5 linked regions of the Mus musculus genome follow. The protein of the gene in region 5 purifies or fractionates together with the protein of the main gene of each other region. This does not show direct contact. Links are inferred from orthologs where the notes say so. Each region holds a gene or a part of one and is shown on either strand. Other genes may lie near its edges.

The links.
Region 1: the proteins of Ptpn3 (region 5) and Vangl2 purify together in Homo sapiens (affinity purification with mass spectrometry; 3 studies listed by BioGRID and IntAct, with this or other methods). This does not show direct contact. The link is inferred for Mus musculus from reciprocal best matches to the Homo sapiens genes PTPN3 and VANGL2.
Region 2: the proteins of Ptpn3 (region 5) and Vangl1 purify together in Homo sapiens (affinity purification with mass spectrometry; 4 studies listed by BioGRID and IntAct, with this or other methods). This does not show direct contact. The link is inferred for Mus musculus from reciprocal best matches to the Homo sapiens genes PTPN3 and VANGL1.
Region 3: the proteins of Ptpn3 (region 5) and Kctd3 purify together in Homo sapiens (affinity purification with mass spectrometry; 4 studies listed by BioGRID and IntAct, with this or other methods). This does not show direct contact. The link is inferred for Mus musculus from reciprocal best matches to the Homo sapiens genes PTPN3 and KCTD3.
Region 4: the proteins of Ptpn3 (region 5) and Shkbp1 purify together in Homo sapiens (affinity purification with mass spectrometry; 4 studies listed by BioGRID and IntAct, with this or other methods). This does not show direct contact. The link is inferred for Mus musculus from reciprocal best matches to the Homo sapiens genes PTPN3 and SHKBP1.

The regions. Positions count from the first base shown.
Region 1 is NC_000067.6:172,009,260-172,015,123, forward strand, and holds part of Vangl2 (vang-like protein 2), read right to left. Parts: exon of another isoform or gene 5,563-5,864; intron 5,538-5,562; exon of another isoform or gene 4,193-5,537; intron 4,087-4,192; 5' UTR 3,895-4,086; coding exon 3,824-3,894; intron 3,690-3,823; coding exon 3,569-3,689; intron 790-3,568; coding exon 182-789; intron 1-181. UniProt on the Homo sapiens protein: Involved in the control of early morphogenesis and patterning of both axial midline structures and the development of neural plate. Plays a role in the regulation of planar cell polarity, particularly in the orientation of stereociliary bundles in the cochlea.
Region 2 is NC_000069.6:102,179,660-102,185,523, reverse strand, and holds part of Vangl1 (vang-like protein 1), read left to right. Parts: intron 1-965; coding exon 966-1,573; intron 1,574-5,864.
Region 3 is NC_000067.6:189,003,546-189,010,165, forward strand, and holds the start of Kctd3 (BTB/POZ domain-containing protein KCTD3), read right to left. Parts: upstream 4,296-6,620; 5' UTR 4,068-4,295; coding exon 3,985-4,067; intron 1-3,984. UniProt on the Homo sapiens protein: Accessory subunit of potassium/sodium hyperpolarization-activated cyclic nucleotide-gated channel 3 (HCN3) up-regulating its cell-surface expression and current density without affecting its voltage dependence and kinetics.
Region 4 is NC_000073.6:27,348,111-27,353,974, forward strand, and holds part of Shkbp1 (SH3KBP1-binding protein 1), read right to left. Parts: intron 4,647-5,864; coding exon 4,485-4,646; intron 4,019-4,484; exon of another isoform or gene 3,961-4,018; coding exon 3,870-3,960; intron 3,777-3,869; coding exon 3,586-3,776; intron 2,498-3,585; coding exon 2,382-2,497; intron 512-2,381; coding exon 424-511; intron 339-423; coding exon 222-338; intron 1-221.
Region 5 is NC_000070.6:57,223,179-57,229,042, forward strand, and holds part of Ptpn3 (tyrosine-protein phosphatase non-receptor type 3), read right to left. Parts: intron 2,723-5,864; coding exon 2,536-2,722; intron 2,406-2,535; coding exon 2,328-2,405; intron 498-2,327; coding exon 441-497; intron 1-440.

The sequences.
Region 1 (5,864 bases), on a different chromosome or scaffold from region 5:
CTCTTACTATGTGCAAACCACCTTCCGCCCAGCCCCACTAGTTCATCACGTATTGTCCTCGCCATCCCACCCTCGCCCCGCCCCCTCCCCCTCCCCCTCCTTCCCCTAAACCTTTTCGGGTCTCATCTGGGTCTCATCTTTGTCCTACACCAAGTCCCACTTTACTGCCGTGCACCCATACCTGAGATGGCCGACATTGTAGAAGCGGCTGGCCCCATCTGTGGATCGCACGACCTTGAGTGTGAACTGGGGCTGGAGCTGACGGAGCTCCAGCAGAACTACGGCCAGATAGTGCACGAAGAGTAAAGCATCCACTAGAGAAACGGCAAACTGAACCACGCCCTGGTAGCTCCGCTCCCGGGCGTCCAAGATGCGCACACCGTAGAAGAGCCAATAGGAAATAACCAGCAGGAAGACAAGCACCATGAGCAGAGCTCGTAACACGAAGACTCGGGGCAGTGAGGCCTTGGGCCGGCGGAAGAACAGAGCCCAGCTGCCCAACAGCAGGATGAGCAGCTTGAAGGCCACGGAGATGAAGAGGCCCTCACAGGCCGTCCCACACGGCTCCAGCTCCTCCCGCCACAGCAGTGGAGGCAGCAGCAGGAAAGCCAGCGGGGTGAGGAACGAGAGCAGCGCCAGAATGGCCCCTGCCGCCACGCCCAGGTGGCGGGAACAATCCAACGGGACACTGTCCTCCATGTCCTTGGCGATGCGCGTGAGGTCATCATGGGAGATACTGTGCTCAGAAGTGCCCGTGACCACCGTTGTTGTTTCTCCCCAGTTGTCATCCTACAGTCGGGAAGGTGGGTGGAGCGGAAAAGGCAGGCAGAGCAGAGGTACACATGGGAAAGCGGACAGGAAAGAGAAATCAACACATATACAGTCATCAGAAGTCACTGAGCTTCACTGTGTGCCTGTCTTGTCGCTGCAGAAACTGCCATCTAAAACCCAAGTCCCTGGGGCGCTGCACTGAGGTCAGGGGGAAAGATACCACATGTGCATCGATGGCCCTCGAAGGGGAGCACAGGACAACTGCCAAGGGAGCGTCTCGAGCAGTGACAGTGACCCAAGGGCAGGCTTGCCAGGCAAAGCAGGCAGCTTCCAGACAGTGATAGGACCCGAGCTGACCTCCAGCAGCGGGTGACATACAAGAAGCTCATCTGAATTAGTGGTTCCTAACCCCAGCTGCACACAGTAGAATCACCGAGGGAGCTTGGAAAACATACCAATTATGCAAAGTGAGATCTGCTTGTCAACTTTTTTTTTTTTAAGCTCCCAAGATGATTATAATGCTCAGCCAAGATTGGGAACTCTCGGAGCTAAGCGATCTCTAGGGGCCGCTAGTCAGAATGCACTCTGCGGACCAGCAGTATGGAAATCGCCTGGGCGAATGGGAGAAAGGCAGACCGGCAGGCCCATCCCCTATTTACTAAGCCACAATCTGCACTTAAACAAGATGCCGATGAACCTGTTCCAGCATTCATGTTCTAGATGGGCTCTCCTAAGTTTCTGCCAGCCTGTGCACTAGTCCATGGTTTCAGCAGAAGCCAGAGCTAGAATATCCAGGGCAGAGATTCATGAACCAAGGCACCCTGAGGAAAGAGAGAAGCAGGGGTCTCCACGTGCAGGAGCAGAGAGCACAGTGGCTAGGAAGGGGAAGTCAAAGCCACTTGAGCAGGCCGTGTGGCGATGCCAGGAACAGACATCTATTCCAGCCAAGTGAGGTGATACATGTCTGTGATCCCAGAGCACAGGAGGCTGATCAAAATCAGCCTGGGCCACAAATCAAGACAATCTCAAAAAGAAAAAAAGAAAAATCCAGGGGCAGTGGTATATGCCTGCAATCCTAGCACTTGGGAGGTGGAGGAAGAAAGGTCAGGGGTTCAAAGCCATCCTCAGTTACATCAGTAAGTTCAAGGCTAGCTTGAGCTACATGAGACCTTGTCTATCCTCCAGCCATGAGGAGCTACTGCAGTTTCTCATTCAAGGAGAAGAAGGGAAAGGAAGATCAGTGAATGACCTAAATAAAAGATGGGAAACTCACTGCAGACTCAGGGTCACCGTGGGTCTCTATAAAGCTAGCTCTGTGGGGTGACCACCCGAATACCCATGGTACAAGATCTGTGGATGTCAGCATAGACAGATGGGCTCTCGGGTGCCCTTCAGAGTGTGGTCTGCTCAAAGCTGCTTCTCTGCATTGGCTAGAGAGTATCCTACAGAGATCTCCCAAGACCACCAGGACTTTCAGGACCCACAGTTCACGTCCAGCCTGGGCATATGGAATCCTACCCTAAACCCCAGGGGATACAAACTACAGGACTGAGATATGCAGTGCAGAGTAGGAGGCCACCTGGATGGGCCAGTGGCTACAGAGCTGAGGAGTCTCCTCTCCCAAGGATGGGAGAAGAATCTTATCTGAATATACAGGGCAGAAGAGCTGCCCACTGTCAGCTGTGGGACTGGAGCCACCCCACCCTCACCCAGTGACCCCCAGATACACTGCCTACCCTCTCAAAGATCAAGGCAGGAAACCCCACCCAACAGGAGGTGAGTTTAATCATACCTCAAAGTCACTTCAAAAATCCATGAGGCCTTATATTACAGAAAGAAAACAGTTCCCAATGTCAGACAGGCCCCTGCCCACCCAGGAACAAGAAGCTAAGAGTCTCCACTGCCTAAGATACTCCCAAGAAGAAAGAATAAGAATAGACTTGGGCAATCTCAGTGTCACCACAAATCCTGTCCCTCCTAAATTCCTGGACTGTGTCTTGCCTACTGTCCTCTCTATCCAGGGAGTGCAATGGACCAGAAGTCAGGACAGAAACAACTGCTCTTTTCCAAGGTGCCCCCTCTAACTGCCCAGTCTCTCTTCTGAGTGCCCCAACCAGCTCCATTGACTCTTTCCAAACCCCTATTCCCTAGGACCTAGATGATGCTGTTCCACAAGCTAACAGCAGAGGGCGAACATCTGAGGCTCGAGGGAAACCTGTGGCCTACCCACCACCACCGCTGCCCTCCTACTCCAGCCTGCGCCAACCTTACTGGCTGCCAGGAGCTTCGGAACAGCAGGGAAATTTCTCCTCACTCAGCTAAACCACCTCTGCCCCTGGAGATCAGGTTGAAACTAGTACCTCCAAAAGAGTTTCCACTAACATCTAAATTCCCTGAATTCCCTGCAACAAGATCCCCCCTTGGAACACGAAACAAAGGACAGGCATAGTAGTCCCTTCATTTGGGACTCAGGGACAGGAGGATTCTGTTTATAAAATCAGTCCAGGGGCCAGGCATAGTGGTGCACACTTTTAAATCCAGCACTCTGGAAGCAGGGCCAGGCAGATCTCTGTGAGTTCAATGCTTGCTAGGGCCACACTGTCTCACAACAAAAACAAGCTACATAAGTCGATCTGGTCTCGAAAAAAATAAATAAACAAACAAAAAAGATACCGTTCTTGATCTTGGGTGAGATGTATCCTAGATCTCTATCAGTCCTTGACTTGCCTAGGAGACTCCACCTACCCCAGAGGATCACAAAATATCTGATCTAAACCACTTTAGCCCCAGTGCTCACCCGCTCATCCCCCCTCGTGGACTCATTGTCCAGCAGGGGTTCTCCCGGAGCCTGGATCGTCACTGATTTATCTCCACGACTCCCATCCCGGCTCTTAGAGCGGTGTCGGTCCCGGCGGTCCCTGCAGCAGGAAGCCAGAGAAACAGAAACAAAGGTCAAGAGGGGATTCCAGGTCCCTTCGGCAGCCCCTTACCCCACCACCTTAGCATACACCACCTCTCTCTACCAGCCTGATCCGCTCGGAGCTAGACCCACCTGTGCTTCCGGGAGCTGCGGGAGTGGCCCGACTTGTAGGAATAGCCCGAGTACTGGGACTCGGTGTCCATGGCGTCCGAACGCCGTGCCTTGTAGCGCTCCAGGGCCGCGGGCTGGGACCTCTTGGGGGGTCCCACAGCCACCTCCTTCAGCACAGGCTTCTTCAGGCCAAGAGGCACCTTTAGGAAGTCAACCGTCACCCTGAGGGACTCTATTTTGCTGGACAAGTGGGCTTATCTCAGAGAAATTCAAGCGGCAGCTCCCTGAGAAGATAAAGCAACTGCTTAGAGGGTAGCTCAGGCTTTCCATAGGACAGGACACAAAGGAAAAAACATCTCCCCTGGGATCCCAGGCGCTCCATGAGAATACCTCATTCCTGGGTCCTGTTCTGCCCAACCGTCTCAGCTCCTCCGGCTTTGTCAGCTGGAAAGACCCTCCCCACCCATAGTATTCCAGGCTGGGAAAGATGCTAGCACAAGCTCCGAGGGCAAGAAGGACACCCAGAATCATCCAACTGGGGTGCCCGATGGGGAAGAATTAAAGCACTGCTTTCTTGTTCTCAGTCAGGAAAACAGAGACTCAGAGACACAAGTTTGTATGTACAAGCTTTCGAGAACAAAATCTAAATATCTCTCTCTCTCTCTCTCTCTCTCTCTCTCTCTCTCTCTCTCTCTCTCTCTCTCTCTCTCTCTCGTGGGTGAATGGAGATAGAGATTGGCATGGTAGAATAAAAAACAAAAAGAAGCATCTTCCAAACGCCTAACATCCCTGGGCAAGCAAGACAGAAGCCTATTTCTACTTAGGGCCCACGAGCAGCCTCCTCCATCTACACTGAATGGTTTTTCAACAGCCACCTGTCACCTGTCAATCATCCTTCAGAGCCCAGCCCCAACTCTCACAGATGCCCCAGGTACTCTAGCAACCAAGGTCATCTTCTCCACTGATGCTGGCAACACTAACTTAAGTCATTCCTATGCCTGAGCACCTCCTGGCTCCACTCCCTGATAAGCAAAGCTCTCTAAGTCACCTACAGTGAACCATATACTTTGCTATGACCTGGATATTGTGGTATAACTGGGTATATGGTCTGGGGGGAGATGTACACTAACAGGTAGGCAATAAATACAAGCAGCCACTTTAGTCAGTGCGGGGGAAGGAAAAGAACACGAGGTTACCCAGCAACAGACAAATGTATCAGGGATTGAACCCTGTATACTGAGCAAGCACTCTGCCACTGGGCTTGCTCCATCCCCAGCCCTGTGGAGAAACTTTAAACTGAATGTCTAGAAACTTGGGAAAATGACATCTGACCATGCCGAAGAAAAGAAGAAAAAGCCCAAGAAAGGGAGGGAATGACACCATACCATGGAAGGCCAAGTCAAGAAATGGCTCCGCGCAATTAAGAAACAATACACCACACAGCTCAGGGAGAGGCTGGCAGAAGCTGTAGGAGCCGCACAAAGACTTGCAGTTTTATTTGCAGGTTACTGGGAAGCCTATTTAGCTGTGCTGACTTGGATTGGAAAGAAGAAGCAGAAACGGAGCGATCGGTGAGAAGGTCCCTCAGCAGGAGGACTCGGCCACTAGACCCAAGTGAGACATAAGAAATGGAGTTGCAGAACTAACTAGACCTGATGAAGTGGGGAGGGGGGACACGGGCACATCAAAACCACCCAGTCAAGCACACACAATACGTAAGTAAAGTGTAATTTAAATAATTAAAAAAAAAAAAAACCTACCCTGAGCAAGGGAGCAGACACTGAACTCTGGTAGGGCAGAGAACTAGAAGAAGCAAGCTTGGGAGAGTTTATGCCGGAGCACTTGTGGGGAGGAGCAAGCTTGTGGGAGAGGGCTGGGAGTACGCTGTCCCGCACACACAAAGCTCACGGCAGCTCTGTGAGGAATGGGCAGCTGGGTGTCCAAGGAGCTGGAGTCTGTGCAGAAGGTATGGTCAACATGCAGAGACGCTGTACTGAGCTCCGGAGATGGGATGCAAGATCTCCAAACGGCACGTGTCCAGGAGAACAAGAAGAGCAAAAAA
Region 2 (5,864 bases), on a different chromosome or scaffold from region 5:
TGCTTTACCTATGAGCTGAGACTCCATCTGTGTCCTCATTCCAACACTTTGTTCTATATGGGATATTTTTCCTGGTTAAGTCATATGCACGGAGCTCACATGGTTTCTGGTGCACCCCAGCTCTGTTGTGCCCTGAAATGGAGTCCTAGTTTCCAGAACAGCAAAAGCATCTGACAGTCTAGCACCAGACTCTTGTTGAATGATCACACCAGGAGCCCACAGCAGCAACTGCCTAGAAGCATTAAAGGAGAAAATAATGAAGTGAAAGATATAATAACCCTGATAGTCCTATACCCTCACTCAGTTTATTATGAAAACATGTTTTAGAGAGAATTTTTGAGCTCTTCTGGCCATAGAGTTTTGAATTTTCTTTATTTAGTCAGTGAGAAATGATGTCAAAGAATCCTCAATGCTGTTCTGTACCGAAGTGAGTCCTATAAATGTCATACAGAAGTTTAGGTAGTGTGTTTTCAGCTGTGGGTGAGTTTGACCTCTGTGTGCTGGGAATTCCTGTTTTATGCTCTCTGCTCTGTGGAGCTACTGGGGGGCGGGGGTGTCTGGATGTGGGCTTTGTAAGCCTAGAACTTAGCATGGGCGGAGTTTACTGCGGTAAGGGTGGCTGTTCTCCTGTAGTGGAGTCAGCTCAGCTCAGTCTAACAGCTGCTATTAATGTCAGAGCAGAAAGGCCTAGACCCAGGGCTTCCCAGAACTTTTCAATTCGAGGGATGACAAGGTGTCATAGTAATGAAATCTCCCAAACAAATTGAAAGGTTAGATTGTGTTTTCTGGGTTCAAAGGGCAAACATAAAATATATGGCGAAAATTTCAATGAAAATAGCTATAGTTAAAAATGTCCCTGTATTAAAAGCTGATTCTATGAACACTTCCAAAAAAGTTGGCTAATTGAAGTATTTTATTTTGTTGTGGCTTTTATAAATCATCCTCGTTATCTTCTCTGTCATCAGGATGACAACTGGGGAGAGACCACCACCGCAATCACAGGCACCTCAGAGCACAGTATATCCCAAGAGGACATTGCCAGGATTAGCAAGGACATGGAGGACAGTGTGGGGCTGGATTGCAAGCGCTATCTGGGCCTCACCGTTGCCTCGTTCCTTGGACTACTTGTCTTCCTCACCCCCATTGCCTTCATCCTGCTACCCCAAATCCTGTGGAGGGAGGAGCTGAAACCCTGTGGCGCCATTTGTGAGGGACTTCTCATTTCTGTATCATTCAAACTGCTTATTCTGCTCATCGGAACCTGGGCACTTTTCTTCCGCAAGCAAAGAGCGGATGTGCCGCGGGTGTTTGTGTTCCGAGCGCTGTTACTGGTCCTTATCTTTCTTTTTGTGGTTTCTTACTGGCTTTTTTATGGGGTCCGCATTTTGGACTCTCGGGACCAAAATTACAAGGACATCGTGCAATACGCAGTCTCTCTTGTGGACGCGCTGCTTTTCATCCACTACCTTGCCATCGTCCTGCTGGAGCTGAGGCAGCTGCAACCCATGTTCACCCTGCAGGTGGTCCGCTCCACCGACGGAGAGTCCCGCTTCTACAGCTTGGGACACTTGAGGTAAGGGGCATGCACACGGAGTAAGCAGAAAGGATGACTAATAACCCTAGAAGACAGATGTTATTAGTCGGCAGGGGTGAGATGAAGCCCTAGAGGCAGATGCTAAGACTGGAGCCCCACCCTTCTCTGGTGTTACTAAGGGCAGTGTGAGCTGTGGGGTGTCTGTGCCTTTCCCGCGATGCTAAGACTGGGGCTTGACCCTTGGTGTTAGTAGGGGCTGGGTGAGCTGTGGGGTGTCCGTGCCTTTCCATGGGACTCTCAGATAAGTTCAGGGTTTTACTGGACTCACACTCTACCTCAATGGCAATTCCCAAAGATAGACACAATGATGGCTACCTACCTTGACTGTGAACTTGGCTTGGGGATAATGGATAAGGTGACTAGTACTTCCATTCTGTCCAAAATGATGCAGCAGATACTTACTATAGCCAAGTTTTGGAATCATCCTAGTTGTTCACCAGCAGATGAATGGATTATTTTTAAAAATTGATAATTTATATATATATGTGTGTATATAATATATATGTATATGTATGTATATATACATATATATGTAATAGAGTTTTATTTAGGTATAAAGAAGAATAAAAATGGACAGAATTGGTGTGATCATGTTAAACAAAGTAAGCTAGACCTACAAGACAGGTAATCCATTTTCTGTCATGCAGACCTAGGTTTTATATGTATATACACACACATATATACACACACACACATATGTATGTATCATATGTATGTATACATACATATATATTTATATGTGTGTGTATATATATACATACATATATATATGTATATATATATATATGATGCACACACATGAAAATAGGAGATCTATTTAGGAAAGGGAAATGGAGGTGCAGGGTGGGAGGAGAAATAGGAAAGGGGGGTGGTGTTATGGGTTAGTGAATATAGTTAAGTACATGATGTACTTTATCAAAAACATTATGAAATGTATAGATTTATACAGCAAGTACACATCACACTCCTGAATTCAGTATTTAAAACTTTAATGCCATTTTTAAAAATGGTGTATCAAGTTTACCCTGGTACCTCAGTGGGATTGTTAGCTCTTCCTTTTTGTTTCCACTCTCAGACAGCCTGTTTGGTCAGTCAATTATGTAGTCACCCTAGTGACTAATAAAGAGTCGGGCTCCAGCCAATGTTGATGACTCATACCTTTAATCCCAGCATCACTAGGCTGAGACAGGCGAATGTCTGTGAGTTCAAGGCCAGCCTGTCTACAGCATAAATTACAGTCCAGCAAGGGTTACACAGAGAAACCCTGTCTCAAAACAAACAAACAAACAAACAACAACAAAAAGAGTCAGACTCCAGCTACAGACTACAAATATGTAAGGACTGAATGTTTTGAAAGTGTTTGTGTAATATGAGAAAGGTTAAAACTCCATCGGTAGCTGGGCGTGGTGGCACATGCCTTTAATCCCAGCACTTGGGAGACAGAGGCAAGGCGGATTTCTGAGTTCGAGGCCAGCCTGGTCTACAAAGTGAGTTCCAGGACAGCCTGTCTCGAAAAACCAAAAAAAATAACCAACAACAACAAAAAACAACCTCCTATCTGTGCATAACTTTAGTGTATTATTCCATGGTTAACTCAAAGGTGAAAGTCTTCTTAAACGTTTGTTTTATAAATAAATGAAGGTAAGTACTCTATGCTGGTTATCACTGTAAAACCTCATGTAATTTTATTCATCCCAGTGTTATGGATAAAGAGCTGGGGTAGAGGGTGTAAGTAATTTACACAACACACCAGGCATGCCCGGCTTTATTCAGGATCCCTTGAATGTCATGCGGTTGGGCTGAGTGAATGATCCAGTTATGACATCTCTCCCTCCGTGCAGAATCTTCTTCTTCCATCTGTTCCCCTCCATATACTTTGAGATCCCTAATGATACACAGTGTGTCTTACTCCACCTGACATCCTTGGTGCCTGGCATGGAGCATGATTCACAGTTGGCAGCCATGTGGTTCCTGGGTGATTGATCCACTGTGGTGGTTTGAATGAGAATGGGCCCCAGAGGCTCATGTATTGAATGCATGGTCTCTAGGTGGTGGAACTATTTGAGAAGAATTAGGAGGTGTGGCTTTGTTGGGGGAGTATGTCAGTGAGGGTGGGCTTTGTGGTTTCCATCCATTTCCATTCATTTATTATTTCTAATCATCTCTCTCTCCTTTCTGCCTCTGCCTGAGAAATGTAAGCTCTCAGCTGCATGCTCTCTGCCATGACAGTCATGGCTATGGACTCTAAACCTCTGAAACCATAAGCCCGCAAATTAAATGCTTTTTTTTTTTCCATAAATTGCATTGGTCATGGTATCTCTTCACAATAATATAAAAATAAGTCACCTTGAATGCCTGGCTTCAAAGTTTCACTGTCCTGAGCAGTAAAAGCTGATGTGTCACATGGCAAAGCAGCCAGGGCTGGTGAGAACACCGCTGTGGTCACTAGAATAACTGGCTTTGTCATTGTGCTAGCTACTGTCCAGAGAAGTGGCCCAGCCCCGCTTGGAGTAGATCCCACTGCTCATCCAGTGTCCTGCTGACGTACACTCTCATCTGTGTCCTCTGGCTCAGCTCGTCCTGCCTGAGACAGGCTGCTTTAGTGTTCAAGGCTGCTGTCACCATGATTGATTCCCAGGGGAGTTTCTCTTTGAATTGGTGTGCCATGAAGGATAAGTTGGTTTCTAATCCCCCAGAGATGCTAGTAAAATTGTGGAAGCCAGGAAGCTACTGGGGCACTGGAACCTTAGAGAACTCTCTCCCCAGTCTTTATACTAGAGAAGGACCCCTCCCCACCCGACCCCCTCCCCAGTGATATCTCCCAGGGTTTTCTGGGGATCCCAGGCACTTGGAGAGTCGCTGGCATATGGCTTTGAAGTGGACAGTTGCTCTGCCAAGCCTGAGATGGAGACCAGGGCACAAGAAGATAGGGAGTTTCAGTCAGCCAGTGAGCGGCAGCTATGAAGCCTATTGGCAAACAGCCCAGCTCCGAGGCCGGTTTTGTTGTGATCTATGCTGTGCAGCCAGACCTGTGGTCTCCTAGCAGGTGAATAGCATTTGGGACTGTGGCAGCCACAGACTGTGAAGGACAGATAGCTGTAGCCTTATGTCCCGGTCTTCCTTCTGAGTAGTGTCCGTCCCAGTTGCACAGAGAAGGGTAATGTCTTCCTCACCTTAGGTCAGTCCAGGTTGATGGGAGGAACAATCCCTTCTGGGCTCCCACTCTTCTCAAAAACAGGTTGACCTCACCCCTACATGAGACCTGGGTGCAAATGGAAGGGGCCGACCCAACGGCCCCTGCAAAGTAGGAAAAGAATCCCTGTCAGCAGCTTTGCTATGTGGGTCAGGGGCAGAACTGGGTGGGAGAAGCCAGACTGCTCCCGGACTGCTGGCCCGCTGCTGCTCAGGAAGTTCTGTAAGGCTCACCTCAGGTCCTAGGAAAACTGCAAGTGACATGTCTAACGGGCTTGGAGGGGAGTATTTGAGAGAAATTTCTTCCCTGGGTCCTCACTCTCCCTCCTTTTATGTGATCTGGTTTGACCCTTAGGTGATTCTGAATTCTGAGGTGGAAGGAAAGGTGTCCTGTCTCTCCCTGGACAGCACTAGGTGACCTGTGACAACCAGTTTGCATCACCTGCTGCTCCATGGGCTAAATCTGGCCCAAGCCCAGCCATGGTGGGAAGAACCAGTGGGGCAGAAATATGACTTCTAAGCCCTTTTATAAATTGTTAAAACAGGAGGAAGGGGGGAGCAGGAAGGACAAAGCAAGCCCCAGACATCAGAATAGCAGGTCGTCAGCAGACCCAACCAGAACCCCAGGCCCTTCTGCCTCCCCTTTATGCAAAGCCTTCGCTGCAGAGTGACCTATTGCGCTTAGGTGTGGAGTGCTGGAGAGGTCTTTCTTCTCATTTTCAAAGGAGGTTTTCCTGAATGGTCTGAGCTATTTTTGAGAGTTTTCAAAAGAATGCCTACTCTTTAGGTTCATAAAGAAAATGGGCTTCTTGTTAGCACTTGTAAAAGGCCCTTGCTGTGGCTTTCCTCGTGAGCAGGGATCATTAGGGGTTTATTTGAAAACCTTCAGAAATGGAAGAGAGTATTGTTGCAGACTGTGAAATTCCATAAATAGATGTAAGATATGACCTAGCTCTTAACTGATGCCTTAGGTGTTACGTGGGCTTTTTATATTTGGACTTAATTTACCCCACCTCTGGGGGTCAGGGCAGGTGGGACAACAGCTAACATCTCTTCCAGTTGAGGACAGGTTAAGGGA
Region 3 (6,620 bases), on a different chromosome or scaffold from region 5:
TCTACTCTGCAAGGACGACTGACCCACTGAGGGAGAGGGAGACCGCCGGGTTTTGCTATGTTATGGTCTTATGTATATGAATGTCTTGCCTACATATATGTATGTGTACCATGTGTGCACCTGGTGCCCAGAGGGTAACAGAGGTCATCAGATTGCAACTGGAGTTACAGACAGTTGTGAGCTACCATATAGGTGCTTGGATTTAAAGATCGGGTCTTTTGCCAGAGCAACAAGTGCTCTTAACTACTGAACCAACTCTCCAGCCCCAAATAATTTATTGCTTATAGATGATCTCTATAGAAAGAGATATTTTCCATTAAGAGATCTTTCCAATAGAGATACAAGGATGCTAACTCATAACTAATTTCACAGTTTATAAATAATCTAAGTGTTGTCAAGCATTCCTATGCTCATTAATCTAAGAAAGGAGCTAAAACCAAATTAGGTAGTATATTTCTCTAATTCCACTACTCCAGAGGCTGAGGCAGGAGAGTGAGCTCCATGCTAGCCTGGGATACACAGCAAATTTGAGGCCAGTGAGACTTTGTCTCAATATACATCTATACACACATATATGAAGACATAAGTAGAAAAGATTTCAACAAACATGTACTCGAGAAAACATGGCAATTTTCCCTAAAGGCATTTCTCAGCAAACTCTTAAATAGTTCTATAGGTTACCACTGGACACAGAAAACTTGAGTCAATTAAAAGAAAATCAGTCCATGGTAAATGGAAGCACTCACAGATAACGTCAAGTAATAATGGTAGAAGAGTTCATTTTGATTGTCTAGTGTTACCATGGAAACAAGCCTTTGGCATTTGTATGAAGGAGTCCCTACAATTAAACCAAGAGGGAAGATCTACCTTAATTTAATCCTAGCTTGTTTTCTGTTGCTATGATAAACACTGACAAAACCAGCCTGGGGAGAAAGGGCTTGTTAGGCTTACAGGCTCAGTCCATCACTGATGGAGGCCAAGACCAAGTAGAGACAGGAACTAAGGCAGGGAGCATGGAACAATGCTGCTCACTGGCTCCCCTTTCCTTTTTGAGAGAGCCCAGGCCTGTCTACCTCCGGATGGTACCACCCACAGCATACTGGGTCCTCCTGTCTCAATTAGCAAGGAAGAAATGACCCCTGTGGCTTGATCAGCTTTCTCTCTTATACAATCTACAATCACCTGCCCAAGAGAGGTTCCACACAGTGGGCTGAGCCCAAAGAACTCTGTACCTTAACTTTCAATGGCTTTGTCAGGTACTTAGTCACAGCAACAAAGCAGACAGACAATAACTTCTGACACTACATGTTCATCACTTTCAGGAAACCATATTAAAGCACACAAGCCTGCTTACAATCACTAGCATGGAGGACACAGCTATAGTCACAGCACACAGGAGGTGGGTCAGGCCTACACAGACAGTAGGAAGGAAACCTTCGCTGCACAGCCAATCAGTATCAAGTCTACCCACAAAACAATCTGCAATCTCTGGGCAAAGAGACTGGAAAACATATATATGATTAACATATTTTTTATTTTTAATCTCCTATCTCAAGTGTGCCAAAGAAAAGATGACTAAAGAAATTAGCATATCTGGTGATGTAGCATACCCACTCTAGTGGCTTGCTACAAAATCTGAACTATGAAGCTAAACATGAAACTATGAAGTAAAGTGATTTGCTATGAAATACTAAGATGATAATGCCTCTAAGCCTCAAGTTCATGATCATTTCCTCAGGTCTATTAGTGCATGAGACTAGTACTATAGCAACCTTTCATTTCAGGAAACTCATCAATACAAAGTAACTTGTCCAACTTTGCTAACTAGAGGGAAGGCCTGCTATGTGCAGAAGGAACCAGTTTGTTTCCAAACCTTTCCCTCAGCCAGTCCCTCTCCTTCCTCCATCCCTACCTGAGTAAGCATGGACTGGTCACTGATGCTGTCGATCATATTCACTCCCAGTGTGTACAGAAATCCCTTACGTGCTAAGCCAGACATACCCGAGCCAGCAGCATGCTGCTCACTGTCTCACCCTTGGGCAGCATGTCCTCTGACTTTCTTCTGGTTCTAAGTAAGAGCTTTCGGCACTTATTCAGTGACTCGGAGCTCCAAGCTGTGCCACAGGTTGTCTTCTAAAACGCTCAAGCCAGGAGTACATTTATTGTCATATTTGGTATTAACTGCTAACTAGCACCCAGTAAGAGTCACATTCCACAGATGAAGTGAAATCCTTGACAGCTCAGCCTTTAAGGCATCCACTTTCTTTCTTCTTATTACTTTCTTATTCACTCTTGATGCACAACGAAGTGCACATGTGGAGTCAGTGTCCTCCTTTCGTCTTAAGTGGCTTCCAAGGAGGAGCCTCAGGTGGCCAGTCTTGCTGTTGGTAAGTGCCGTTTTCAGCCTAGCCATCTTGCCAGCCACATCCATCTCCAATACACAATAAACAACAATGTAAGGGCTGAAGAAATGGCTCCGTGATTAAGAACACTTGCCGATCTTGCTAAGGACCAGAATTCAGTTCCCAGCATCCATGTCAGGTGGCTCTCAACAAAACTTACCACACCTGTAATCCCCGCTCTAAGGGACCCTTTCTTTGGCCTCCACCTGCACTCACACATACAAGTAAGACAGACCAATCTTTTCTAAAGTGACAATATAACTTAGTTGTTTGTCATAAAGCTATATTCTCTTGAATGCCTGGAAGGAAATATGTGAGCCATCCACAGAGAAACCAGGGTTAAGGTTTGCCACGAGCACCATTCTGCTTCTCTGTAGTAACACTGCCCACGCCTTTTGTGGACTATTTCACTTTCACATACCAGGTCACTTGCAATAGGTTCCTGTAATCGTAGGTGGGCAGGGAAGACACACTATTTACACTAGATGAGGTCATTTGCACAGGACCTAGTAAGTATAAAATGCAGCGGAAGTCATTTGCATATGACCTGCTACTTAAGGAATGCACTAGAGGTGCAAGGTCTCCAACTGTTAAAACTTTGCTTTGGAGGTAAAAGGTGACAAAGCAGGAAGACCACCCCAAGTTCTCCAGCACTCAGAGAGCCCATTGTTTCACAACTGTTAATTTGTATTTTTAAATAACAAAAGTGTTACACGTTTAAAATCTTAAGACATTGAAAACTAGCCTTCCCAGGACAACAGAATAGCCTGCGCATTAGAACCCCCCTCTCCCTCTATTCTTACTATGCCTTAAACCCAAGCTTCCCTCAACTAGTAGGGGCAATATCCTTTTCTGAGAAGAGTCATGTGTAAGTCACGGCAAATACAAAAATGGGTTTTTGGTTTTGTTGCTTGTTTGGTTTGTTTGTTTGTTTTGCCAACAAACTTCCACTCCAACAAAATGGGAGTGGAAGGTCTAATAGAGACTAAAGACTCAACAGTCCAACCGGTTGCTCCTATGCAACAACTCAAGCCCTAGCACGGGAGACGACAACCAGCTGCAACGCTGACAGCTCGGTGTCAGCATGCCTCAACCCTCCAGAGGCCCCAAGTCACTTGGTCAGGCAGGCCCACCATGCCAACTGTGTTCCTGTGGCCTTACTTACACCATAGGAACCCGGGGGAATAAAGACTGAGTTTTAACAGTCTATACACTCGACCTGGAACCAGACTCTGAAGAGTGCATAGGGCTGCTTGGATCATGCAAAATTGTACCTACCTGTCTCCGGGTCCCCCACCTGGCCGTGCAGACGCCGCCCTACCCTGCAGTGGGTACCCGACCTGACCAGGTAGATGCCACCCTGCCCTGCGGAGGGTACCCGACCTGACCAGGTAGACGCCGCCCTGCCCTGCAGTGGGTACCCGACCTGACCAGGTAGATGCCACCCTGCCCTGCCGAGGGTACCCCACCTGGCCGTGCAGACGCCGCCCCGGCTGTAACACCTATCCCACCTAGGCTGGCACATGCCACTCCTACAGCAGCGGGCGTCCCACCCACTGTTCCCGCGCGGTCGCGGGCTCACCTGGTCCCCCCCACATTCAGCTGCACGATCTCCCCGCTGCTGGCCGCCGACGCGGCGAAGCTGCCGCAATGCCCGCCCGCCATGTCTGCGGCGGGAGCCGGAGCCAGGGCCGGAGCCGGAGCCGGAGCCAGGAGCGGCGGCTCGGCGGCCGGAGCACACTCGGAACGCCGAGCCTCCCGCAGCGGCCCGGCTCGCTCCAGCCTCCCCCACTACGTGTTCGTGGCCTCCGCCGCTCGTGGCTGGAGGCCGCCGGCCCAGCCCGGCCTCTCCTCAGAGCCCACTCGCCTCCATGGCGGCCGCCACAACCATCTGGAGGACGGGTCGCCGCGAGGGACAAAAAGCTGTAGCGCCGGCGCTTCACGCTTACGAAGAAGGAGTGGGCGGGGCTGGTGAGAGGGAGGAGCTCCTGGCGATGGGCGGGGCTGGACGAAGGGTCTTCTGCCACCGATGGCCTAGGAAAGATTTGCCCCTTGCCTCTTCACCAGCACAAGATTTAGGTAAAAAAGAAACTTTCGCAGTTATTCAGACTGATCTAAGTACACTCGATGAAAAGATATTGAACACCATACAGCGCATTACCTGCAAACTGCATAGTTTCCATGCCACCACTCCTCAGGGCAGGAGAAAGCAAAAACCCTGCTGGAGTGAGCGGTATCCAGCAACATGTTTCTAGATTGTACATACACGCACTTTTATTTTCTTTACTGATTGATTTTTGTTTCTCTCTCTCTCAGCATTATGCATTGGAGCACCAAACCTTAGCGATTTCGTGTGTGTGTGTGTGTGTGTGTGTGTGTGTGTGTGTGTGTGTGTGAGTGTGTCCTCCTGGGGATGGAATATGATGAGGCCTTGTGCTTGCTAGGCATCACTGACCTAAATGTCCAACCTCTAAATCATACTTTTAAAGAGTACTATGGCAATGGGATGTAGGTCAGCTAATGGAGACAGCACACTATATTTCAAAGATATCTAATTCAACAAGCTAAACTGTAAGCATTAAATGTCTAATAGTTTTCTCATAAAATTTAAAACTGATGAACTATAAGAGGATAGAAAACATCTTATCCTCATTAAACATTGCTTAATTTTGCTGCCAAATATGCCACTGAGATGATACACTTTCTCCAGAATTGATGATTTTTTTTTTTTTTTTTTTTTTTGAGACAGGGTTTCTCTGTATAGCCCTGGCTGTCCTGGAACTCACTTTGTAGACCAGGCTGGCCTCGAACTCAGAAATCTGCCTACCTCTGCCTCCGCCTGGCTCCAGAATTGATTTTTATAAAGGACAGCCACACCAGATGTGCTATCCTGTAACCTCAGCACTGTGGGGGTAGGGGGAACCAAGGAAAAAGAATAAGGAAGGGACTAGAGGCCTCCTCAACTACATAGAATTTGAGGTCAGCCTGAGATACAGAGACCCTGTCTCAAAAAGAGAAAGGGGAGGAAAAGAAGGTGGGAGGGAGGGAGGGAGGGAGAGAGGGAGAGTGTGAGGGTAAGAGAGGGAAGGAGGGGAGAGAGAGACAGAGACAGACAGAGAGATTATTTCTGGGGCTGGTGAGATGGCTCAGTGGGTAAGAGCACTGACTACTCTTACGAAGGTCCTGAGTTCAAATCCCAGTAATCACATGGTGGCTCACAACCACCCATAATGAGATCTGACACCCTCTTCTGGCAGGTCTGAAGACTGCAGCAGTGTACTTAGGTATAATAATAAATAAATCTTTAGGCTGACAGGAGCGAGCAGAGGTCCTAAAAAATCTAATCCCCAGCAACCACATGAAGGCTCACAAGTATTTATACAGCTACAGTGTACTCATATACATAAAATAAATAAATAAATCTTGAGAGAGAGAGGGAGGGAGAGATTATTTCCCCTAGCTAATGGTAATAAGATGGAAAACAGCTCAACTCTGGTTCATTGTGAGCTTTTTAATGCTTTACTGGAGATAGGTACTGGGGATTGAACCCAGAACTTTACCCATGAAGAACACTCTACCACTCTCTTCAAAAAATAGAAGGTTGAGGGTGATAATCACCCCCAAAACTTAGTCAAAATTACATCACAGGCTAGAGAAAAGGGAGAATGGGTCTGATCAGATTTCACTGTGTCCAGGTGTGAAATTCACAACGAGCCAAATAAATGCTGTGCTTCTGAAGAGGGACAGTGCTCTAGAGTGGATATGGAAGGGCAGGCTAAGCTACTAGGAATACGAGTGTGTGTGTGTGTGTATGTGTGTGTATATGTGTGTGTGTTTGTGTGTGTGTATATGTGTGTGTGTATATATGTGTGTGTGTATGTGTGTGTATGTGTGTGTGTTTGTGTGTGTGTGTTTGTGTGTGTGTGTGTTTGTGTGTTTATATGTGTGTGTATATGTGTATGTGTGTTTGTGTGTGTGTGTATGTGTGTGTGTGTGTGTGTGTGTGTGTGTATGTGTGTGTATGTGTGTTTGTGTGTGTGTATGTGTGTGTATATGTGTATGTGTGTTTATGTGTGTGTGTGTGTGTGTGTGTGTGTGTGTGTGTGTGTGTAGCTTATCCACCTTCCCATGGTAGAAAGCCCGTGGAAAAGAAAGCTGCCTCTTGTAGTCTGTGTTTCTCTTGCTGTGATGAAACACAATGACCAAAAGCAAGTTGGG
Region 4 (5,864 bases), on a different chromosome or scaffold from region 5:
TCCTGACAGGAGACAGGTAAGATGCAAGAGGCAGGCTTGTCATGAAAAGGCCAAAAGCAGCCCAGCACCTAAAACAGAGCTAAGTAAAGCAAACCAGAAGCACGTGCTGCAGGAATAAGAACTGATGTCCCGTTCCTGAGGAGTGCCGTCGAGACACAGAGCTACGGCTACGGCTACGTCTGGCTGGCCACAGCAGGGCAAGAAACTTTGTCATAGCTTACTGGTCTTGGGGGTGAGGTAGACGCTGAGGGCGGTGACCCCATCCTCTGCTGGGTCTCGGTAGAGCTCACTGACAAGGAGATCGTTGTCCTTCATCCGCAGGGGGAATTTCTGCACATCTAGATGGGCAGGCAGGGGTGGGGCGGATGCAGCCGAGGCTCCTGCTCCAGCCCACCCCTCACACTGCACAAGGACGCTGCTTACCTACATAATAGATGGAGCCATTGCTGCAGCCCAGGAGGAGGAAGGAGCCGGCTGCATCATAGCTCGTGATAGGCTGGACCTCCTGGACCTGGGGAGGGAGGAGGCAGTGCCAGTTTAGCTATATTTCCACACAAGGTCTCACTCTGTGTCTCTCCATGCCTGGCATCCCTGCCTCTCTCCCATGATGCCCATTTCTGTGTGCCCAGCCTGGCCAGGTTACCAGGGCCTGAACCTACTCCTTTCAACCTTACCAGTGGCCACCCGTGTCTATGGCTCTCTCTGTAACTGGCCTATGTACCTTCCTCTCTATCTTAGGCCATTTGTTCCTTGACCCCCTTCTTCTTCTGTCTTTGTTGAGATTTTAAAAATTGTTTTCTAAGATCATGTATGTATATATCTGTGCACAAGTGTGTACACATGAGTGTGGGTGCCCACAGAGGCCAGAGGTGTCAGAGCTCCTGGAGCTGCAGTCATAGGTGGTTGTGAGCCTCCTGATATGGATGCTGGGAATGGAACATGAGACACCTGAAGGAACAGTGCCTGCTCTTAACTGCTGAACCATCTCTCCAGACCCATTTTTGTTGAATTTTGACATTTGGCCCCATGTGCCTCAGGTTGGTATGGAACCTGCTAGATAAACAGCCCAAGCTTTCCTGTCCTAGAAGTATTGATGATCCTTCCTCTATATCCCATGTACTGGGATTATAGAGTGGGGTGTGTGTGTGTGTGTGTGTGTGTGTGTGTGTGTGTGTGTGTGTGTGATATGTGTGTGTGATGTGTATTTAGTATCTTGTTTAGCACAGGTTCTCCTCCCTGTTAACTAAGCACTCTGCCATTGACCTACTCACATCCCAGCCCCTCACTAGGAGATTCTAGGCAGGGGCTCTACCACTGAGCTACATCCCTAGCCCCTCACTGGGGGACTCTAAGCAAGTACTCTATCATTAAGTTACAGCCTTTGCTGTCTTCTCTTTCTCTCTCTCTCTCTCTCTCTCTCTCTCTCTCTCTCTCTCTCACACACACACACACACACACACACACACACACACACACACACATTTTGATGCAACTGTCACTAAGCTGCCCAGGATTACTCTGTAGCTCAGGTTGGTCTTGCATTGGATCAGCCTCTTGAATAGCTTGGGTTATAGGCCTGAACCAGCAGACCCAGCCTGGCTCCATCGTTCTGACTTTGCTCCATCTGCCCTGCCTCCGTGTCTCCTGCCTTCACTGTTTTTTCCTGGTTCTCTCTCAGTGCTTCTTTCTGTGCTTCTGTCTCTCTCCCAGTATACTTTTGTAGGCCAAATACACTACAATTCCATGTTTTTCCTTCACGTTTTAGATATGGCCCCTGGGCTGGATGGAGTGATGTGCACAGGCGCATCCCTCTTGCACCCTGCATCTTGCACCCTGCCATCTTGCACCCTGCCATCTTGCACCCTGTCATCTTGCATCCTGCCATCTTGCATCCTGCCATCTTGCACCCTGCCATCATCTTGCATCCTGCCATCTTGCACCCTGCCATCTTGCACCCTGCCATCATCTTGCATCCTGCTATCTTGCACCCTGCCATCTTGCACCCTGTCATCTTGCATCCTGCCATCTTGCATCCTGCCATCTTGCACCCTGCCATCATCTTGCATCCTGCCATCTTGCACCCTGCCATCTTGCACCCTGCCATCTTGCACCCTGCCATCATCTTGCATCCTGCCATCTTGCATCCTGCCACCTCTACATCTGCTCGAAGAATCCCACGGTTTTCCAAACTCATCCATCCTTCAGGTTGATTCTTCAGCCACTCCTACAGGAAGGCCTCTTGGATGTTCTATGGACTTTTATCCCACACCTACTGTAGGGTTCTTTTCCTCTTTCTCTAGGTAGAGTGAAATAGGAAGAAACCCTGGGCCTACATAGTCACAGACACTCGGGAAGAGGGAGCCAGGCTGGCCCAGACTCACCTGCCAGTGCTTGGTCACAGCGTTCCAGACACCGATGCGCCCTGTGTGACTTGTGGCAATGAGCTGATTCCCAACAAAGAACAAGGCCTCCACTGGCACACCCAGGTGGAAGACACCTGCAGGTGGCAAGGGAGGGGGTGGTGCTCAAGAGGAGGCTGGGACCCCACTGCAGGGCTGGGGGTGAAGCCCCAGGGCCGCAGGTTGTATCAGGAAACAAGATCCACGGCAAAGAGGATTCCAGGAATTACACAGAATATCTGATGGGTGTGGGAGTGTAATGGTGAGTAGAATCCTAACAGGCTGAGGTTTCCTTCCATTGGAACAAAGGGCTATGACAGCAACTAAAGGCTGATTTTTGTTGTTATTGTTTTGAGTCAGGGTCTCATGTAGCCCAGGCTGGCCCCTACCTTCTGTGTGTTGGATTATAGCTATGTACCACAATACCCAGGTTATATGGTACTGGGATTAAATCCAGGATTTCATGCATGTTCCTTTCTTCTCAGACACATAAATCAATATACAATAAAATAAACCAGTGTGTTAACTAAGTATGGTGGCTGTAATCCAGTGTACTGGCTGGATTACATCCCTCCATGTGTGTCAACTTGACACAAGCTGGAGTTAACACAGAGAAAGGAGCCTCCCTTGAGGAAATGCCTCCATGAGATCCAGCTGTAAGGCATTTTTTCAATTAGTGATCAAGGGATGAGGGCCCATTGGTAGCCCTGGGTTCTATAAGAAAGCAAGCTGAGCAAGGCAGGGGAAGCAAGCCAGTAAGGAACATCCCTCCATGGCCTCTGCATCAGCTCCTGCTTCCTGACCTGCTTGAGTTCCAGTCCTGACTTCCTTTGGTGATGAACAGCAGGGTGGAAGTGTAAGCTGAATAAACCCTTTCCTCCCCAACTTGCTTCTTGGTCATGATGTTTGTGCAGGAATAGAAACCCTGACTAAGGCAGTATTCAGGAGTTAAGGGCAGAAAGACTTGGAATTCAAGGCTAGCTTGGGCTACATAGTAAAACCTTGTCTAAGGCAAAATGAAACAATGAAAAGTGCAGAGTTCTGAAGGTCTAACACATTTCTCACAAGGCAAAAAGACTGACTCTGTACAGAATTCCCATCCCCCCATGGGTTTCTGAGTTTCAGTTGAGATATTTTAACAAGTTACAGAAGTCTACAGAGTTCTAGAAAAGATCATGAGACATACCTATCTCAGAGCCACCACCTTGTGCTTGTAGGGCCCACAGAAGGATCTCGCTGCCAGTAGCTGCAGCCACCATCTTGTCATGCTCACCCGGAGCACCGCCAAGCACCCGAGCCGCAAGAGCCAGGCGCTCGATGGGCCAGTCCAGGCGCGGGCTGGAGAATGCAAGCTGCCAGCCCGAGGCTTCCTTCAACCTGTGGGATTGAGGGACATCAGTAACCCCCACCTCAGAGCCACCCTAGCCACAGGGGCAGAGCCTCCCACTGCCACACCCCCACCCTCAGCACCTATAACAGACGAGAAAGTGGGTATATGCCACAGCAATCCAGTTGTGGTGACCACACACCAGGCGCACCATCCCTGGCTCCTCTGGTTGGCCTTGGGGGTAAGAGAGCAGAGCAGAGCAGGGTCACAGGGGCCCACTGGCCCTGACCTCCTAAAGGACAGAAATGTAAGCTACATCTGGTGGTGTAGGCTGCCTGGGAAACTTAGTGAGACCCCGTCTTAAAACAGAGCGTAAAGGCTGGAGTCAGGGGAGCTAGTTCAGCATACAAAAGCAGTCCTGGCACATGCCGGACAACCCAAGTTTGTTCTCCCAAACCCACATGGTATCCTTTGACAATTATGCTGAGTTCACACATGGACACACAATAATGATAATTAAAAATAATCATCAAATAAAACTAAGAACATGAGGAGCAAACATTGAGCTCATAATTCTAGCACTAGGGAGGTTGAGGCAGGAGGACTGGATTGCTTTGAGCTCCAGGATAGCCTGGACCAGAGTAAGATCCTGTCTCCAACAGCAACAACAACATCATCAACAACAACAACAAAAGTAAAAGAAGGCTAGGGATATACAGAGGCAGAACGCACGCACTAAGCTCAAGTCCCAAGCTTACCTGATGGGGATGGAGGTGCTCTCTCATCTAACATTCGGCCCAGCAGCCCTGCATTACCCAAGTTGGGGGGCATCGTGTTGCTCCGTCGAACAGGGGCTGGGCGTCCCCCTATTTGCTGGGGCCCCACCAGGCTGTGCCGGTTTCGCCGCTTCACTGGGAACACTATAGTGAGGGGAAGTGTCGGGCACCACAATTAAAATCGTGGCGGACAGTCTATGAACACTTAAACCATGAGAGGCATGGATTCCCTGTGTGGGGCACAGTGTCCTGGGGCAGGTGCTCTGTGTGCCGGGATTCAGCATTCAATGACCCGGAAACCCGTCACAGGGAAAGACCTGGTTTGGTGCTGCTATGATATTGGTGCCTTTTCAGTGTTTGCTAACTTGGCCAGGCCTTGCAGGCAGGTCTGAAATCCCAGCCATTTGGAAATCTGGAAGTGGAAGATTGCAAGTTCAAGGCTAGGCCCTGTCTCAGTAATAATAAAATAATAATAACGATGATGAAGCAGAGGGCTGGCAAGTGTCTTAGTGGGTGAAGGTGCTTGCCACCAAGACTGGCAATCCTGACTTTGATCCTGAGACATGTGCGGTAGAAGGAGAGAATCAATTTCTGCAAGTTGTCCTCTGATCTCCATTCATGCACCCTCCCACCACGTGCCCAATAAATAAATACTTCTGCCGGGTGGTGGTAGCACACAACTTTCATCCCAGCACTTGGGAGGCAGAGGCAGGTGGGTCTCTGAGTTCGAGGCCAGCCTGAGCTACAGAGCAAGTTCTAGGGCAGCCAGGGCTGCACAGAGAAACCTGGTCTTGAGAAACCAATACATACATACATACATACATACATACATACATACATAAATGTAATAACATTTTTAAAAATAAAGACAGCTGGACCATGAACATGTTCCTTGCTGTTACTGGGGAAAAGCTGTGGGCATGGTTCAGAAGTAGAGCACCTGCCTAAAATTCACCTGTCAGGCTTGGGAGAGGAGGGGGGTGGAGGTGGGGGGCGGGGGGAGGGCAGTCTCATGCTACAGCACCTGCCCAGCATGTACAAAACCCTGGGCGCAAACTCTAGAACTATAACAAATAAAGAATAAAATAGAAATATAGTTGTAGGAGCTACAGACATGGCTTGCTGGGTAAAGCACTTGCTATATAGGCATAAGAAAACTACGTTTTGGACTCCCCCACCCCCAGACAGTAGAAAGGTGTGTGCTCAGACTTTGTTGACAAGCCAGCCTAGCCAATCAGTGAACTCCAGGTTTGCTGGGACCATGCCTCAAAAGATAATGTGGATGGCTGAGTGTGGTGGTGTATACCTTTAATCTTAAAGGCTTAGACAGAGGAAGGAGGATCCCTATGAGTTCAAGGCCAG
Region 5 (5,864 bases):
AATCTCTGCCTCAGTTTCCCTGCCTTGACTAGTACTTCCCAAAGTTAAATGTACACACCAAACATCCAAGGATCTTGTTACAGACAGATCCAAGGTAAGTAAGTAGGACCTGGGCCTGTCCCTGAGCTGGGGCCAGCGGCCCCACATATAACAAGGCCACAGGTGACATGGTGCTGCAGCTGCAGGGATGGACCACGCTGCACAGCATGGTTGCAGTTAACGGACATCCCACTCTTTGTCTCAGTCTGTCTGCCGTAACAAATACAAATCCATGCTGCTACCGATCAAACCAAGCAAGTAGCTGATCATATAACCATCCAACCAATCAGTCAAAGACAAACTAAATCTCAACAAAATCCAAGAATGGGGCGTACAGAAAGAAACTTGTTTGACGTAGGGGAAAGCAAACACAGGAAGTCACATAGTGTATATTTACTTACAGGTGACTCTGGGTTTATCCTCGAGACCACGAGCGGCATCTTTTGATCCACTCCTCCCTGTAAACATTTTTCAAAGTAAGCAAAATCAAAAATAAAACAGAACACTTGAGTAGTTTTGCTAACAAAGGTATGTAGACATAATAAATATGAGCCTTAAGAATTCAGGAAGGTTTTACGGGAGGATCAATCACGGGGGTTGGGGACCCCTTTTGGAATTCTAGGGCACACTGCTGACTCCTCTTTACCCAGAAGCATATCCTGACATTCCCATCACCTGAACTGAAGATGCCCTTGGAAAAAAACATTTCCTGGAAAAGAATGTGTGCTTACTTCTTCAAAAGAGGAGGCACAAGACCTCAGGAAGGGCCATGTGCACTGGGATGCTCCCCGTGTGAGCAGAGCTCTAGAGGGCAGGTAGCCAGCAGGGGCAGTCTGCTCACTGCGCAGGAGTGGGGGTACAGAAGGAGTACAGAGGTGGGCGAGGGAATGGGCATGAGAGAGACGGAAGTTAGATGCTTCCTCGATAGGTATTTAAGCAGTGTGGGGAAGAGGGTCCTGAGGCAGTCACTTAACCCCACCACCCAATCCCTGAAGCTGTAATCCAATGGGCACAGCACCCGTTTCAATAATGCTATATACACAAACAGATGGGAACTGGGTGGTGACAGCAGTTTGCAGCCACTGCCTAGAGGGACTCATTAGACCCAGAGACTTGAGCTAGCTGCCTTCACATATCAGCTGAGCAGGGCTGTATGGGCCTGGAAATAATCCCTCCTGGGTGGGCTGTAGCTGCATTTGATCACCAACCAGACACTCAACTTTCTGAGCCCCGGGATTCCTTTGTAAGATGTGTTTAACGGCTGTTGTATGCTTTATTTATTTCCTTCATTTTGAGATAAGGTCTCCATAGCTCTGGCTGGCCGTGAACTTCATACACAGTCTAGGCTGACTTAGAATAAACTGGCTCTGCTTATTCTGAGAACTCACTACAATGACAGGGATCTAGTCTTGCAAATGTTGGGCACATAACAACTACATAATACGAGGCAATTGAACTACTACATAAAAAGCCAGTTCTTATCCCTGAGTAGTTTCCCTTTATTTATTTATTTATTTATTTATTTATTTATTTATTTATTTATTTATTTTTGAGACAGGGTTTCTCTGCATAGCCCTGGCTGTCCTCCTGGCTGTCCTGGAACTCACTTAACTCACTCTGTAGACCAGGCTGGCCTTGAACTCAGAAATCTGTCTATCTCTGCCTCCCAAGTACTAGGAGTAAAGGCATGTGCCACCACTGCCCAGCTGTTTTTTCCTTTTTTTTTTTAAAGTGTATTTATTATGTATGAGTGCTCTATCTGCATGTACACCTGTGTGCCAGAAGAGGGCATCAGATCCCAGTACAGATGGTAGAGTCACCATGTGGTTGCTGGGAATTGAACTCAGGACCTCTGGAAGCCACTGAGCCATCCCCAGCCCTGAGTAGCTTTTCAATAGTGTGTGCACACGTGTGCTTGGGTTTGCGTTCACACATGTGAATGTGTGGCTATCAGTGGAGGCCAGAGGTCAACCTCGGGCTTTCACTCCTCTGCTGCTATCTAACTTGTTTCTTGAGGTAAGAGCTGGCCAGGGCTGCACCTGCTTCTGTCTCCCCCCTCCCACCCCACAATCTCTGTTAGGTAGATCCAGGGACTGAAACCAAGTCCTCATGCTTGCATGGCTAGAACCTTACCAGCTGAGCTCTCTGTAGCTCTAAGTGAGCTTTTCTGCTTTTTTTTTTAAACGCAGCGTAGGTAAGGTAGTAGATTTCTGACTGAAATTCAGAATCCACCTGAAGACTGTTTCGCTTGGTACCACCTAAGAATGCTACAGACGCTCGCAGTGTACCTTAAGGTTAAAGCCAAATCTTCCCTCTTCATCTGGTGTGATCCGGATCAGGACTAGGTAGCCATCTCCATCGTCACTCTAGAAGACACGTGAGAGGGTTGTTTACACCACTTCCTTCTGCAGTGGCTGGTGACAAGGTATTTTTCTCTCTGTGAGAACGAGTCACCAAGTCACGAGCGAAAGTGCACAGGACCCGGAAGTCCCTCACCTTATCACAGTAGTACTGGCTGGCGTCCTCGACGAACCCCCCTTTGGTCACCTTGTGGTAGTCTTCTAAGAACCGCTGGTCAACTCCATCTGGAGAGCAGGAGCCTGGAGCATTCGAAGATGGAGACACAGAACTGGATGACTTCTGGGTCAGGCAGCTTTGGGCTGGGTTGTTTTCGGACAAACTCCTTCATGGTGAGGAAAGAGATGTTTTATAAGTCAATCAATATTATCAGAGAAAAGATCATTGGTTGTTAGGGGCTGGCATCTTGAGATCACCACGGGGTCCTGGAACCTGAGCATTTCTGCAAAAGTCCTTGGGCTACCCATGCTATCATCGAGGCTAAACAAAGTCAAATCTGACTTAGGGCAGAAGGGCAGGGGGGACCAATGGGCCCTGAAAACAACCCCTACCCTAGTTGCTTTGAAGGTTGATGGCGAAATGTGTAGATCCACTCTGGTTTAATACGAGAGCTGTTGCCTAGGCTGGTTTTGAACTTCTGGCTCAAGAGATTTTTCTGCCTTGGCTTCCTAGCTGGAACTCTGCCTGGGACCCACTAATTTGAACATGCCAGGAAACAGAGCATCATTTGTGGAATAATGACCGGCAGGAGCTATACATTGATAATTGTTGTAACTAGCACAGCAGCCTGCAAACTCCCACGTGGACGGCTTCTCCACACACTGCACACATTCCCACTTCTGCTTTTGCCTTCACTAACACTCTATCCCAGGCCCTTGCCTGCGACTGTTCTTTAAATGATGCTTCTGTTCACGAGCAATTTAAAATCGGGGGGGACAGGGGCTGGGTTTTTTTGTTTCTCCTTCAGTGTTAAGAACCCAGGACCTCTCACATGGTAAGCAAGAACTGAGCTATTACCCCCCACCCTACCCCACCCCCGCCTAAATTAGACTACTCTAAATATAAAATCTGTACCTATTCGCACACAATGATTCACAGTCTTAATTTATTTGAACAAAATATTCACTGGGAGACCAGTGTGGAAACAGATATGTGTAAGAGAAGAATTGGGCCTGAAGGATTACTGGTTGTCATCTCTCAAGCCTGTGATATTAAAAAAAAAAAAAAAAAAAAAGGTCCTTTCAATAAAATTGTATCAATAAATACCCTGCTTACTTACGTTTTAAAATTTTAGTTCATGAGTTTTTATTTCACAGGGTTTCAAAGTGCTTTTTTCTTCCTAATACAAAACTCTGGTCTAAAGCCAGATGGGTCTACATAGTGAATTCCAAGATAGGCAAGGGTATATATAGACCCTGCTCAAAAAAAAAAAAAAAAAAACAAAAAAAACAAGTAAAACAAAATTAAAAATAACAAAAGTCTCCTGATCTAGCTCAAACAGGGAACATGGTGCTGGAGAGATGGCCCAGGGGATAAGAGCACTTGTTGTTCTTGCAGAGGACTTGCATTGGGTTCCCAGCACCCACCTGGTGGTTTATAACCATCTACAGTTTCAGTTTCAGGGGATTCAATGTTCTCTTTATGAACTCTGTGAGCATCAGGCACACATGTGGTGCACATACATACATGCAGACAAAACACTCATACGCAAAAAAAATATAATAAATCCTAAAACATTTTGATTCTATCTTCAAATAGCAAACAGCAGTCACTACACACACTGACATAGTTTAAGACACCCCGCATCCCAACCTGTCTTCTAAGTAGGGTTGGAGGAGAGTTAGCGTCAGGGTGGGCTAAGGAACAAGTGGCTAGTTTTTGGACCTATCAACTACACACTAAAGTTCATCCCTGCAGAAAACAATGACATTCTGCTTGGTATAAAGGGTGGACGGACAGAGACCCAAGGAGGAAATGGGACAATGAGAAGGTGGGCGGAACACTAGGATGCCGGGAGAGAAGAGGCCAGGATGGTCAGGGCTCCCTGCGGAACTGCAGGGGATTGAAGCTGTAGGGAGGATTCATAGGCTACTGAGAAAGGCGTGAAGGAAGCAAGAAGCCATTTCTGAGCAGGAGACAGGCAACACGATGAGACCTGTCCCCATCCTCCAGAAAAGAGCAGTCAGAGTGGGACAGGCACACCCCAGGCTCTGGGGATGAAGGCGCAGAGGCAGACTGTCAGGCATCCGAGGACTACCTATATAACAGGCACCAGTGACAAATGCCACCAGAGAACAGTATTTTCTGAAGAGCTGCAACGTTAGAGAGATGAGGAAGAACAGCACTCCCCCATCAAAGACGCACGAACGTGGGATGCTTTCTCTCATTCCAAAGATGTCTGCGAGGTCCAACCACATGAAAGAGAATGGCAGCAGGAAACAGGACCAAGGAAGACTGAGGTTCCCAGCAGGTGCAAACTGGGTGGCTCTGAGACAGTGGTCCCTCCCAAGACACACGGGAGCCATGACACAAAGATGAAGAGCAGAGATGAGGTGGGGAGGTTCCAGGATCTTGTGGGTGTTTACCCACCTAGTCCGGCTCAGGGATAATGGCAGTCACCACCACCCACAAGGAAACCCTGTCCCTGGCTGGCTCCCTGAAGAGACAGACCCCCTCCCATATTTGCTGCTGTATTCTGGTAAGGGTGCCTAAGAATAGTGGAAGAGAAGGGGAAGGTAGAAACTGGCAAGAAGAGCCAGACTGCTTAAAGGAAAATAGGCAGGGCTGGCAGAAGGACTGGACAGCAATGTGGTGTGTGTGCTAAGAGCCTGAGGCGGGAGCCGGCAAACCAGGCCAGCATGGAGATGTATCGCATAGTCTGAGAAAAATACAAACACTTTCCTTCAGTATCCCCTGAGGTGCGGTTCCAGGACAGCATTCGCCACAGATGCTTAAATCTCTTATACAAAACGCTCTAATGGCTTCATTTTATTTATGTGCACCCTCCTGTGTTTTCAAAAGTCATCTTTCGGTTACTTACAGTACTCAATTCAGTGTCAATACTGCACAAACACTTGTGTCCTGGCCTGATGAGAAGAAAAAAAAAATCTGTACACGTTTAGCTCTGACCCATGACCAGGAAAGATCTCATGACACTGGACATGCAGTTGATTGACAAGTCTGTGGCTGCAGAACATGTGGGCGGAGAGGGTCAGCTGTACCAACAATCCGAGTGCCTAACAGCACCACAGCCTGCCTCACGACTGGGATGCCTGTCATTGGTAGGGTTCACAGACCCCACGGTCCCAGAAGATGGGCCATAGAAACTCCTTCTCTTTGGTTGTAGATGGAGAGATAATGCCCCAAGTCCCCCTCCAAAGTATACATTTAAAAATGAATGCAAGAGCTATCTTGTGTCCTGTATAAGAGGGCAGGCCTTCAGCCAGGAGGCAAACAGCCAGTGAGTT